Cricetulus griseus: one gene and its partner. The protein of the gene in region 1 interacts with the protein of each later gene in a pairwise test. Links are inferred from orthologs where the notes say so. Each region holds a gene or a part of one and is shown on either strand. Other genes may lie near its edges.

What was found. The genes of interacting proteins can lie anywhere in the genome.
Region 2: the proteins of Arntl2 (region 1) and Clock interact in binary tests that used the Homo sapiens proteins (3 or more experiments, as listed by UniProt). The link is inferred for Cricetulus griseus from reciprocal best matches to the Homo sapiens genes BMAL2 and CLOCK.

What each region holds. Positions count from the first base shown.
Region 1 is NC_048601.1:2,894,903-2,901,995, reverse strand, and holds part of Arntl2 (aryl hydrocarbon receptor nuclear translocator-like protein 2), read left to right. Parts: intron 1-2,497; coding exon 2,498-2,738; intron 2,739-3,202; coding exon 3,203-3,309; intron 3,310-3,736; coding exon 3,737-3,887; intron 3,888-6,322; coding exon 6,323-6,381; intron 6,382-7,093. UniProt on the Homo sapiens protein: Transcriptional activator which forms a core component of the circadian clock.
Region 2 is NW_023276807.1:142,733,569-142,741,128, forward strand, and holds the start of Clock (circadian locomoter output cycles protein kaput), read right to left. Parts: upstream 4,474-7,560; 5' UTR 4,316-4,473; intron 3,739-4,315; exon of another isoform or gene 3,721-3,738; intron 3,493-3,720; 5' UTR 3,414-3,492; intron 1,155-3,413; exon of another isoform or gene 1,007-1,154; intron 1-1,006. Other genes in the region: collagen alpha-1(I) chain-like, read left to right, coding at 4,726-5,130. UniProt on the Homo sapiens protein: Transcriptional activator which forms a core component of the circadian clock.

The sequences.
Region 1 (7,093 bases):
CTTTAGATATGGTGGATATCAACTTTTGTCAGATGAGTCACCAACAATAGTCTCACCAACAATAGTCTCTGGGTTGTGTTTTCTTTTGTTGACCATTCCCTGTGCTGTGAACTAGATTTTGAGCCTGGGGATCCCACCTAGGTAAAGATTGCCTGTCCCAGCATCTGGTCTGCAATGTTTCCTATTTGTAACTTCAGAAGTCTGAGTCCCACACTGAAGTCTTCATACATGTTTCAGTTGACATCCGTGGAGGGTGAGAGACAGGGCTTGAGTTTCAGTTCTGCATACGCTGTCCAGTTTCCCCAGCACTGTTTGTGGATAAAGCTGTCCTTTCTATTTTCCACACCAGTTTTGAGAATCAGCTGGCCTCAGACATGTGGGTTTCTTTCTGGGTTCCTCATGCTGTTCCGTTGGTCTGTGTATATATTCTTGTGCCAATACCATGCTGTTTTTGTTACCACGACTCAGTGCTATATTTTGAAGCTAGACACTCCAGCTTTGCTCTTGGGACTCCTTTGTGCTTCCTTGGGAATTTTAGGTGGCTTTTTTTTTTTTTTTTGCTCTGGTGAGGATGTCATTGGTGCTCTGATGGGAACTACATTGGATCCGTAGACTGGAATTTTAGGTGGTTTTTTTATTTTCATCTGTGGTGAGGATGTCATTGGTGCTCTGATGGGAACTACATTGAATCTGAAGACTGCATTGAGTACAGCCAAGAGAACAAAGCTGGAGCTATTCTGCCGTGGGGTTTGTTTTGTCCTTGCTTTTTAAGAGGCATCAAGTTAGGTTGTGTATTTGAATCCTGTCTTCTTGACCTTATTATTTTTATACGAGCACTCATTGCTATAAAATTCCTTCTTAGTGATTTTTGCTCTGTGCCAAAGGTTTTAGCCCATTGTATATATATATGTGTGTGTGTGTTTTTTTAATTTTTAAAGAATTCTTAAGTTAGCATAGAAGATACCTGGTGTCACTGTGGGCATCTTTATATGTGTATATGTTATTCATGGGTTGTCTCATTGGTTCTTCTCTTCCTTGTGCCCCTCCCCATCCTAGGTTCCTTCCTCCCTCCTGTCAGTCCTCTTCTGCTTCCTCATCACAGTCACAGGTATTTCCATTTCTGTCTGTTTCAAGAGCATCTTAAATTCCCCATGCAGTGGGAGTACACTGTCCTGCCCCCATTCAGATACAGTTTTTAGTTCTCCTTACTGATTTATTGGCTCATCCCATCGTGACCAACAAAGATACAGGATATGATCTCATCCCTCAAGCATTTGTTAAGACTACTTTTGTGGCCCAACACAGTCTGCTTGAGAGACAATTCCCCCATGTGATGAAGAAAAGAGAAAACTGTGAACCGCACAGATGCTCAGAGGCCAAGCCAGTCTGTCTACACTTGGTCCTCAGCTCCGCCCTGCATGTGCTGTGACTGTAGCCCCTGCCTGTTCCCAAAGACAAGCAGACAATATCAGAGCACCTCACAGAACTATTAAGGAGGTTAAATGAGTTATACAATCCCAGCTGTAAGACCGCCCAACAGACTTGTGGCTCACCCTCTTCATGTCTGTCCTGCTGCTGACTGTAACTCTTAGGGCAACCTACAGCATTTTCTGTTAAAAGAAAAACTAACGTTTCTTTTTAAAGATTTATTGTTGGGGACCACAACATGATGTGATTCTTAAAGGCACTTGTGGCACAAGCCCAGTGGCCTGAGTTTAATCCCACAACTTCTCAAAGTTGTTCTCCGAGCTCCACATGCAGGCTCCTGCACATATACCCACACACACACCATACACACGATAATAGCAATAATGAAATCTATCGTGCTATCAGTCTTCCTGAATAATGCCAATTTAAAACAATGCCTGTTCAGGTCTTCTGCAAGTCCAGTCACAACTGAATGTTTTAAATAACTTGCATTAGGTTTTTCTCTGCGTTTTAACATTGAAGGCACTTTGTCTAAAGCATCTACCATGTGTGCACCACCCGTCTTCTGAGCCCATGTGACCGTTCCTTGTTTCCATAAACTTTCCTCATATTTGAGCAAACGATTTTTCTTTTCTTGTTTTCCTTTTTGGTGGGTTGGTTTGACAAGCTGCTTCATGGGAATTAGTTGCTTAGAATTTTTTTCTGAAAAGTCAAGGTTTTGAGTCTTTTTAAAAATACTTTTTATTGTGTTTCTAAATGCTCATCAAGCATTTCTGTGGTCCTACTATGACTATATATGTCTATCAATCATCATCACAAACAACAGTAAGATTTGTTTTTCATAATAGACAGACATGGTGGTGCAGGTCGGTAACCACTTGGGAGGCTGAGGCAATAGTATGGGGGTTAGGAGATAGTCTCTTATACATAGGAACTGGGGGCTAGCCTGAGCTACAGGATGAATTTGTCTCAAAAAAAAAAAAATTGGAGGAGGGAAGAAGGAAAGAGGAAGTGGTGGTAACATTGGCATTCATGTTGATCTAAGTGTATTTCTGTGGCTTCTCATTAGACCACAGGAAATTCTACACCGTCCATTGCACTGGCTACTTAAGAAGCTGGCCTTTGAATGTTGTTGGCATGGAGAAAGAGAGGGACAGTGTTAAAGACAGTGGTCCTCTTACCTGCCTTGTAGCCATGGGACGGTTACATCCATATGCTGTCCCTCAGAAGAGTGGCAAGATCAAAGTGAGGCCAACTGAGTTTGTGACCCGCTTTGCCACGAACGGAAAATTCGTCTACGTTGATCAAAGGTGAGCACTCAGGCTGTGGTGATGAGGAGCCCCGGGCCAGTTGAGGTTGTTTCAGGGGTGACTCGGTAGCTCTACAGGATTTTCCTTCTAATTGGGGCTTGAGGATAGTTTAAGTGGCATAAGGCTATGGTTGTTGGTCGTTTTGGTCAAGCCAGAGGGCAAACTTGGAAAAGCATTTCTTAGCAGTGGTGCTGAGGCTGGGCCTGCTCCATGGCCACTGTGTTGGCCACTGATGCCTTATAAGGGCATCAGCTGGACTTCATGGGGCCTCACCTGGGTGGCCTGTTTGGTGGCTCTGGTCTGTGGCTGGCGGGGACCAGGCAGTCCATAGGAGCCTAGTGGTCCACGTGACTAGCTCTTTCCCCGGGGCTGCTGCCTCAAAGTCACACCTGTGCTGGAGCTGCTGGATTCTGGGAGCCATCACCTTCAGTAAGTGCCATGCTAATTTTCTGTTTCAAAACCAGGGCAACAGCAATTTTAGGATACCTGCCTCAGGAACTTTTGGGAACCTCATGTTATGAATATTTTCATCAAGATGACCACAGCAATTTGACTGTCAAGCACAAAGCAGGTGGGTAATTCATCGAGAGCATAATTTAAAATGACAACTTCAGCCAGATGTGATGGATCACACTCAAAATCTCAGGACTTGGGAGGTGGCAGTAGAAGGATCAGGAGTTCCAGGCTAGCCTGAGCTATGTATCAAATCCCTATGTAAATAAATAAATAAGTGTCATTGTTATTGTAGTATCAACTCTCAATCTCTCGTTCCTTATGAAACCCCAAACTGGAGTTGATTCACAAGGCACTGGTTTTGGGTTTGGTGTTTGCTTTTGTTCTGGGATTCAGTACGGGCCCCTGGCTGGCCTAGATCCAGCAGCTACCCTCTTCGCACAAAGCCTCCCAAGGGCCGGGATTCCAGGCAGGAACCACCACACCTGGCTTGAGGTCGTTTCATTCTAAAGGCTGCTCTGCTGATCGCATCTTTTCTTGCGAAGTTCTGCAGAGTAAGGAGAAAATACTTACAGACTCGTATAAATTCCGCGTGAAGGATGGGTCCTTCGTAACCCTGAAGAGTCAGTGGTTCAGCTTCACCAACCCTTGGACCAAAGAGCTGGAGTACATCGTGTCTATCAACACGCTGGTTTTGTGAGTAGTTCTCTGTAACGATAACTCTTTCCGCCAGCCACCTGTGTTATGCCGCCACGTTAGGGCCCCCAAATAACACACAGAGACTTAATATTATTTACAATGCTGCTGGCCAATGACTAAGATTTCTTATTTTCTAGCTCTGTCTTAAGTATCAACCATAACCATTAATCTATATATTTTATAAAGACTTATCTTCTCAAGGACACCAGCGGCATGCATCCTCTTCCTGGGGATCACATGGTGACCCCTCTTTATTACGTTTCCCAGAATCCTCCTTCTTTCCTAGTCCTGCCTATCTTGCTTTCCTATTGGTCAACAGTGTTTTATTCATCAACCAATAAGACAAATACATATACAGAAGGACTTGCCCCATCAGTTCTTTGTCTTCTTATTTGTCCTACTTTCTTTTTTTTCTTTCTTTTTTTTTTTTTTTTTTTTCGAGACAGGGTTTCTCTGTGTAGCTTTGGAGCCTATCCTGGCACTCGCTCTGGAGACCAGGCTGGCCTCAAACTCACAGAGATCCGCCTGCCTCTGCCTCCAGAGTGCTGGGATTAAAGGCGTGCGCCACCAACACCCAGCAGCTTTGTCCTACTTTCAAGGGAGTGCCTCTGCTTTCCTTCAGAAGCCACCAAAACTTCATGGTCCTCTGGCTGTGCGGCAGCTCAGTTTGGGGATGGGTGCCAGGAGCCTGCACGGATGCCAGAATGCTTTGATCTCCCATATCCATCCTCAGAGCCTGTCATCATTAGTTACAACTCCTGGGGCAAAGTAAAGTCATTAAATGGCTGTTGTGCCCGATCATTTAGGAATAATGACAAGAAAAAAGTCTCTGTGTTTAGGAAAGATTTGGGTTTTCCTCCTCCAGTATTTTTGGTCCACAATTAGTGATCCCACAGTCAAACCCTGAGTCTGTGGTGGCCACTGGTGCCTGAGAATTTTCTTTGTTCTTCATTGATGTTAAGTTGTTCAAGTTAAGCTGACAGTTCGCCCTTTGTAATCTACCCCTTTCGTGCTTGATATAATGTCTGGTGGTAAAGGTAGGTAGGTATGGTTTGCACACCTGTGATCCTGGCACCTGGGAAGTAGAGGCAGGAGGATGAGAAACTCAAAGCTATCGTTGGCTACGAAGGGAGTCTGAGGCCAGCCTAGACTACATGAGACCTTGTCTCAAAACAACAGCAACAACAGTTCCCCAAAAACCACCACCCCAAAAACCAGAAGACGAAGAACCACTGACTCAATGGTAGAGTATTTGCCTAACGTGTGTAGGGAGTGATCCTGATTACAAGCACTGCTGACCACGCCTACTTGGGCTCCGTCACAGGTACTTAAGAGGGGTTTAAGAGCCAGGGGGGACAAGCACGTGGGTCTCTCGCTAGGCTGAGCTGACTGGGAAGCATTTCTGGGTCCATCCTGCTCAGGTGGAAACCTGGTCACTGGTTCCCTTACGTGAGTATTTTCCCCTAATAAACTACTGGTTATTACCTATCTCTGACTGCACTATGTAATCATCAATACAAGTGCATGACCCTGGGTTCAGTTTCCCCAGCACAGGTGGGGAGAGGGCCAGGCACACACATTTAATGTCAGTACTAAGGAAGAAGAGGCAGGCAGGTCTCTGAGTTCCAGGTCAACCTGGTCTACATAGCATGGGCAGGCCAGCCAGGACCCTGTCTTGAAACAAAAACAAAACAAAAAAGAAAAGAAAGATGTATCTTCTATGCCTGTGGCCAGTACTGCCACCAAGTAGCAGAAATCTGGCCTTGTCTTCAGGTGAAGTGCCTACCTTTAGCCAGCTCAGCTTAGCCTAAGCTTCGTTGCTTTGCTAAGTTTATAAGCGGGTGTAAGGGTCACTGTTGTGGGATATTTTCACCCTCGGACACTGCCAAGACTGCCAGTGAAGTTGACTTTGAATCAGAGGGTGGAGCTAGCTACTAGCTGACCAAAATTAGCCATGACCTATGACATAGAGAGAGAGACAGGAAGTAGCAGGGAGGGCCTGATGGGGGCAGGAGAACGAGAAGGCCGCTGGTCACTTCTCCACTGTTTCTCTGATCAATCAGGCTCTTACCCTGATATCTGACTCTGAGTTTTTGTTGATAAAGATAATTACATAAACACTTCATGTCACACCAGTTCCGTTTGCTTCTCTATCACATGTAGTTTAAACATCACCAGGAGGTGAGTGTGCCCGTGTTCCCTGTCAGCCATCCCAGTACAGCTGTGAACCTTAGCACTGGATTGGGAGCCGAGCACCATCACTGTGAAACCGACCAGTGGGGCATTTGGCTCAGATCCCAGTCTTAGCTGACGGTGTGAACAATAAAATACTGATGAGTGGAAACTGGCAGATCAAACACACGGAGCCAGTGCAGAGCTTCATTGGTTCCCTCACCTCAGAGAATGTCACCTATGCTGTTTCTGACTTGCAGGGGGCGCAGTGAGGCTGGTGCACCATCCTTACTTCCCTGCAGCAGCCAGTCCTCAGAAGGTAAGCCGGGGCCTCGGGTCGGGGTTGCAGCTCAGATGCATCGTCCAGCATGTGTTTTATGAAGATGTGGTTTTCCTTCTAAGAGAAGGGATTCCCAGGGGAGGTGAGAAGACAGCTGGACTGGACAGACATCGTGCCTTTGGTTACAGGAGAAGGAGGCCAAGGCAGGAGAGACGACCCAGTGTGTCCAGGCCCTTGTCACGTACAGAGAGTGACCTGAGTTCAACCCCCAAGACACACAAGGATGGCAGTGGACTGAGATCACAGTGCTGTCCTCTGAACTCCACACCATACACATGCATCATACGTGTACATGTCATATACACACGCATAAGCATATAAACACCATCATACATATACACGTCAAACACACATACATTATACACATGGACACACATCACACACAGACACATCACACATGTGTACACAAACATCATGTACACATTATACATTTGTACATACATTTCATACACACATTATATATTTGTACACACACATCATACATACATATAAACATATACATATAAACATATACACACAAACATACATATAAATACAAACATATATCATGCATGTGCACACACATTATATGCACATACAATATACACATATATACAAGTACATACATACACACATTATATGTACATACATATGTCATACAATATACACATGTATACACAAATACATAAAAAACTCCCAAGGGTCTGTGAGA
Region 2 (7,560 bases), on another chromosome or scaffold:
AAATAAAATTTTAAAAAAGTCCTTTTAAAAAAATCAAAAGTAGCCAGGTGTTAGTGGTGCATGCCTTTAGTCCCAGCACTCAGGAGGCAGAGGCAGGCGGATCTCTGGGAGTTCGAGGCCAGCCTGATCTCCAGAGCGAGTGCCAGGATAGACTCCAAAGCTACACAGAGAAACCCTGTTTCGGAAAAACAAAAGCAAACAAACAAAAAAACTAAAGTAATAGCAAAAAATCACTCTTTATAAATAATTTCTCTTTGTAGAGTGACAGGACAGACTTAAAATAATAAGCAAAAGTATTTCTTTGTAGATTACACAACCAACATGATAACTTAGAATTAAAATTGTGAGAATAAGTTGTTTAGGTAATTTAATATTTGCAGAGTAAAGCATGGAGAAAACAGAATTTCTTTATCCACTTAATTCATGGAAATTACATATATCAGGGCTATTAAAAATGGTTGTAAAGCAATTTATAAATACCATTATGTAATTAAGCCAATTAGTAAGAATTAAATTGTTCTTACACTTAATAGTGTTAGGTTGATAATCCGTTCAACTATACCAACAATTTAAAGCTCAAGTTAGCTGATTGATGCCTTACTTCAATAAAGATGCTTAACACGATGCAAGTACTTTAAGAAAACAGTCACAAAGATAGTTTTGCTATAAAATGTCTAACTTTTAAAAATAATTTGCTCCTATGTTTTATTAAAACATTCAGAGCAAATAAATAGTTTGCCTACCACAGCACTGTAAGTACAAATAGGGAGAGGAAGCATTTAATGTAGTGCTCTGAGGGAAGAGTAAGAAAAGCACAACTTTCTTTTATTATTAACAAAACCCTGCCTAACAGACAGCAGTTCACTGACAAATCATATTTCTAACAACCTTCAAATCAATGTGTAAGTAATTGATAATCATTAGATAAAGCAGCAAAAGGCTATCTGCAGTGGGAAAGCTTAGCTAAGTGACATAAACAGATGGACAGCACCCATCTCTGAGATACCTGCTGTACGACTGCAGTTGGCTCCTTCACACCAAGGAGAGAGGCTGAGTGAGCTTTCTGTTCTTCTGTTCTCTTCTTTCTTAACTAGTCAGAAGGCTGAGATGCCTAGTCACCCTCAAGGGCCCATACAATCTGACCTTTAAGAGTGCTATAAGAAATGTTAAAGTTTAAGTCTCTGTGCTAAATTCACATCAGTTAGACCTCCCCCCAAACTGCAAATGACTTCATACCAACTAGTACCTCAATGTTGGGGATGGAATAAGAGATTATGCCCTAAGGTTTATATCACATTTTGAAACTTTCTGACATATTCTAAGTCATTTCTATCCTGGGGTTGGGGTACAGTAGAGGCAAACTGGCAAAACAATCAATCATTCAAGAAGAACTCAATAATGGCCAAGCATAACCTGAACATTCAAAAGACTGAGGTAGGAGGTTCTCTACTTTCTGACCAGTCTGGACTACATACTCAACAACCCCACAAAAAGCCACCATAAAAAGCTCAACATTCAATTTTTAAGGCTAAAATGGACATCCTTATAAATCCACAGAAAAAGATGTAGAAAGCTACTCATCCACTTGTTAATACTTACTTTTGGAGAAAAGTATGAGGTAAAGTAGAAAGGTATATCCAGTGTGATGGCACACACCTAAAATCCTAGTGCGTAGGAAGCTGCAGCAGGAGGACTATGCTGAATTCAAGGCCAGCCTGGAGTACACAGTAAGTTTCAGGACAGCCCGGCTACAAACAGCATGACTCTGTCTCGACAACTACAAATATGGAAGGCAGCCTTTACTTATGTGACTTATCTGGCTAAAAGATTGGAAAGATCAGCCAGGCGGTGGTGGCGCACGCCTTTAGTCCCAGCACTTGGGAGGCAGAGGCAAGCAGATCTCTGTGAGTTCAAGACCAGTCTGGTCTACAGAGCAAGTTGCAGGACAGCCTCCAAAGCCACAGAAAAACCCTGTCTCAAAAAACCAAAAAGAAACAAAGAAAGAAAGAAACAAACAAACAAAAGATTGGAAAGATCTACATACATGAAGTTCAAATGAAAAATAAATGCCATTGTGCAGTAGAGTGACTATTATATACCTGCAACAAACAGAAGCAACACATATATCCTGTCCTACAAAATAAAAAATACTAATAATATTAGTAAAAGTGAGTACAGCAACTAGTTTCCATATAATATTATTGTCACTAGAGGGAGTTTTTGAGTATTCCCTCCCTAAAATTGTACTCAATCTCACAACACCCTTTCAACCTTAACCTTGCTGAAAAGGTTAGGCTGGCAAAGCTAGAAAAATCATTACTATATGTTTACACAATCTGTAACCATAAAAATGCTTAATTTCTTACATTTGATTCTGAATTTTATTTTCCATAATCTCTCTCTCTCTCTCTCTCTCTCTCTCTCTCTCTCTCTCTCTCTCTCTCTCTGCCTCTCTCTCTCTCTCTCTCACACACACACACACACACTGGGGTTCATGTCTGACTTCCTTAAAGGAAATAATAGATTCCCACCAGAAACATTATGCTAAACAATCTAGTTTATTATCATTGTAAATATAGTGTTCAAACTGTGAGGTAGGGATCGACAAAAGGAAAAAAATATGAACTATAGTTCCTGAAGAACTAAAAGGGAGACACTACACTATCAAAGCACATGATCCAATTGTAATACCAAATGCAGTTATCACGAAGTGTCAGCAAGGCAAATAACAACCTTTGTGGTTTTGAATTCATCTGTAACTTCAACTTCTTAAAGTGGAAAGAGCTAGCAAATCCATCCTAAACTTTCCTTCGGTTTATTCCTTCAAATTTTAAAAGAAATAATACTGAAAATGATCAAAATTCCCTACAAAATAGGAAACCAATGGCATATAAACTATCTTAAGCAATTTTTGTTGTTTATGAATCCATAAAATAAAAAATACTACAGATAACACATAAAACATTTCATTTTCCCCCCCTTTCCTCTTCAAACCACTTCTCCCTCTCCCATAATTATTGGTTTTCTAGTATTATTCTAGGATTCCTTTATACAGAAGAGAAATACAAATTTTATAGCTATTACACTCTTCCTTAACACATAAAACAGCACCCAATCCACACCATTCTATTTCTTGTTTTCACTTTATGTCAAAGTTTTGTGCCGTTCTTTTTTCATAGGTCATCGTGGCTAGTCCTGAAAACTAACCAATGACACTCAGCAAACTCCTTGGCACATAAGGTTTCTTTCCCCTAAGATTTTAAACCATATTTATAATTATAATTTAGAGACAGCCATTCTCTAAGTTATATCTTACTAAGAATTTCTTTCCAATCAGCCACAAAATGGATGTTCTACAATTTTTCTTCTCTAATCTCTCTGAAAGTTGTAACGGTGCAATCGAGTGAAATTACCTTTCCTGTGATTTCGGGGATCGGCGCCGTAGTCAAATCAACAATGCCCATAAAAGTTTCTTCTTGTGCTTTTCTTTCACTGAAAAAGAAAACACCGGGGTTTGTTGCTGTCGTCTTAAAAGCACCTACAAAGCCTTCAGTTTGTAGGGGTACGGCATTCTAATACCAAAACCCAACAACCTGATCTGTCATCTGCCAGGGCAGAGGCCAAAGCTCTTCATCTTTCAGGGTAGTCTTGTTGACTACTCAGGACTTGTTCGGAAGCAGAAAACACCCAAAGGAACATAAACTTCGTGGCGCTGCGTACCGGTCGAGCCACGGCCACGTCCAGGGTGGTCAGCTCCGCAAGCCGAGAGCAGCCGGTCGGATGCCCGGGGCCCAGCGCAACCCGCGGTCCAAGCCCCGGAACCACGACCACTAACGGAACCAGCCCTGGGCGGCAGCGGCGGCCGCTCGGACCTCGGAGCGCGGCGCGCGCCGGCCGCCGCGAAGGCGGGGGCTCGGCGGAGGAGCTGGCCGCCCCATCGCCCCATTGGGCGCCGCTCCAAACGTGCCCGAGTGGTGACAGGAATAAAGTGGGTCACAAGGCCTAGCGGGTCCCGGGCGCGAGCCCTCTCGCCGGCCGACTCGGCCTGCCCCCCGCGCCCAGCCTCGAGCGCGCTACGGCCCGGGCGCCTCCCGGGTCGCAGAACCCGCCGCGCCCCCCTGCCCCGCAGGTAACCCCGGCGGCCCGCCGACACCTCACACAGGCCCAGCGGAGTGCGACTCCCCGGGGCTCTGCGTTCTGCTAGCCGCCCCACCCCGGCCGCTGCTCCCGCCTCCCGGCCTGGCCGCAGCCGCCCCCACCCCCGGCCCCACACAGCGCCCCCCGCGCCCGCCCGCACGCCCGCCCGTGTCCTCACCGTGTGGCCGCTTGAGGCTTTGGCTTCCTCCCTCCCCCACCCGGGACTCTGGCGGCGGGGACTCGCGACTGCCAGGCCGCAACGACCGGGGAAACGCCGCGGCTCCGGGAGCCAGCAGCACCTAGGGCGGCCAGTGCGCGCCCCCAACCCACCCCTCCAAATTCGCCGCTACTGCCGCGCTCCTCCCCCTCCCGGTCTTCCCCTCCTCCACCGGCTCCGGAAGCACGCATGCGCCGCCGAGGCCAGCCGTCCGCCGCGCGTCCAACCGAGGCCCACCCTGTGGGGCGCACTCACCGGGAGCGCGCGCGCGCGCCGGCGGCCAGATTTCCTTCGCGCTCTCGCCGGCCGGGGTTTCCTCTCTCCAGCCGGTAGCCGCCGGCCGAGTCCGTGATTGTGCTCCCTCCCGGCGCATGCGTCGTGGACCCGGGGCTCCGCGGCCGGTCGGGCTCTGCACTCGCCCCTCCCCTCGCGGCCGTCTTCCCCGGAGCGTCCGGGCGCGCATGCGACTTTCCCCGTTAGGCAGCCCCGAGCCGCGCCGCGCCGCGCGGAGCTGCGCCACGGAATCCCAGGCGCCCGAGGAAACTCCACTCCTGCGGGCCGGCGTGTGCTCGTTCTGCAGCCGCAGAGGGAAGCGGGGATGCCCCGGGGTCCCCTCCCCCCCCCACGCAGGCCGGGAGGCGGGGCCTGGCGGAGGGTGCGGCCGCCCGCAGAGGTTTGGGAGGCTCTGGGCTCCCTGGGATGCAGCGCTCTCTTCCTGTGGGAGCCACCGGCCCGACGAGGGCCTCGGTCTCTTGAAAAGCAAAGAGCTTAACTGACGCCAAGTTAAACTTCTCCAACCCGACTTGGAACAGGTCGGCTTCCTCTCCTGGAGGTGCGTCGACTGCGGGGGACTCGGTTTCCCCGCCGCTCCCTGTAGGTGGGCATGGGCAACCCAAGTGACCTCGGCTGCAAAAGGTCGGAATGTGTTTGCTCCTTTTATGAAAAGATAAGAGACAACAGTAAAAGATGAGGGTGGCTCCCAGGATGAACAGGGACCCTAGATTACACTGGTTTCGTGGCCGCTGCACCCTAATTATTGGGGGAAAAAAAGCCTTTAGACCCTCCCCCCCCCAGTTCCTAGTAATTTCTTTTAAAAAATCAATTTGGACATGAAACAGAAGGCAGTAAATAAACCTGTACTCTTTAGCTCCAAAATCCTCTCTCCAGGGTTATGTCCAGTAAGAATGAAACAAATTCTTGGTGTATACACAGAATAAAAGAACTTCAAAACCGGAGAATTTGGGTGCGTACTCTCCGAGAAGGCTGAAAAAAGAGAATCTTCAAATTCCCGGCTAATCTGGGCTTCGTAGCCAGACTCTGTCCCGAGAACTTTTCCTTGGTGCCTGTTTTGTTACTTCGCCATTGAAAGGCTCTTACTGCACATTTTGTTCAGAATCCAGCTGCTGCTCTGGGTCATTTTAGTTGAATTCACCCATTCTCCATTCATTCCCTGTGGTCCAGGCAGGACACTTCGCAGTTACTACCAAGAAGGACTGCTTTCCAATGGACTTGAATCTGGAAGAATAAAGCCTTTCCATGTGTGACTAATGAAAAAGAAGGCACCTCGAAGGGGGAAAAAAAAAAAAAAAAAGCAGATTCAAAGGGGGAAGTGTAGCCTAGAGGCTTGATGTCCGACTTTAGGGGCTAGATTGATTCCTCAGGAAGTTTCAGTTAAAGTAATAAATACACTCCTGAATGTATTTTCTTTATTGCTTAAACCAATGAGAGCTTTTTTGTCACAGACTACTTAGCGTCTTGATCACTGGTAGTAAAAAAAAAAAAAAAAAAAGAAGTAGGTTAATCATGCTGATGAAGTTCCTAGGTTGCAGCCAGACAAGGGAGCCTGAATACTTTTCCTAGGTTGAATGTTTCAGTTTTAGTCTAGAGGAAGTCCTTTTTTACATTCAATCTTCTCTAGTACATACATCTTCAAAATGACCTTTGCCCCCTTTAATGATTTCATTGTCCTTTTAGTTACCTATGACTCCTCACATTCTGTGTTTAATTATTTACCAAGACCTGATGAAAATCCCGTGATTTTTCTGCTCAGTCCTCTGCCACGGTTTGAGTATTTCCCACAGGTCAGTTTACAACCCCCCCCATATTCTCTCCAGGGAGGGGGGAAAACTTTTCTTTTTCTCCAACTTTAACATTCTTTGTTTCCATCAAACAAAAACTTTGTCTCAGAATTTCATAAATCTTAAATCTAGGTTCCCAATTCTAAACTATTGCCTTAAACACCACATTTGTTAGTTGTGTGTCCTCTCAACTCCCATGTGCCTTGCCCTTGCTGTTGTTTAAACTGTTTCCAATTGTCTTTTCAGCTGATTTCCCCGTGAAGTTCTTCATCTGTAAAATGAGGATAACAGTTTCAGCTCATAGGACAATTAGAGGCAATTGTGTATTAACACTATCTGCTATGTAAATTACATGTCAAGTATTGGCCACTTCAATTTTTTGTAATTAAAATTTAATTACATCATCTACCCCCTTCCCTTTCTTCCCTGCAGTCCTTCCCATGATCCACACCTTGCTCTCTCTCAAACTCATGGCCTCTATTTCTCTAATTTGTGTTATGTGTATACATTCCTAAATATATAAATACAGCCTACTTAGTTTGTATAATGTTACCCATATGGATATGATTTCAGGGCTCTTGACACTTGATATTGGATAACCAGTTTAGGGGCTCTTCTCTGGGAAGGCTGTTTTTCCCCAATTTTAGCATTCCTTAGTTGCCTGTAGTTTTTTGTCAAGGGTTGAGGCCCCATGAGATTTACCCCTTCTGTATTAGCATGTCTATTGGTGTCTTGTTTAGGCAGTCATATTGTTGAGACTTCACAGGTGCAGTTTCTTTGACATTTCTAGGAAACTGGCACAGCAAATTTCCTGTTCTGTTTCTTATCATCTTTCTGCCTCCTCTTCCACTAGGATTCCCGAAACTTAGGTACATACTTATAACCCTAGCACCAAGGAGGTCAAGACAGAAGCAACCTAGGTTACTTCTGTCCAGAAGTCCTAGGTTACAGGTCCAGCAGGACCGTCTTTAAAAAAAAAAAAAAAGTGAGAGAAATCACACTGTATTCCTTATAAAACTTCTATTTGTAGTTCGTCTGAATGCTTAATCATAGCCACAATCCCCTATTGATCTGCTCCATGTCTGCCCTCCAACCTCATGGCCTGCCATTTGCTCCTGTGACTTTCCA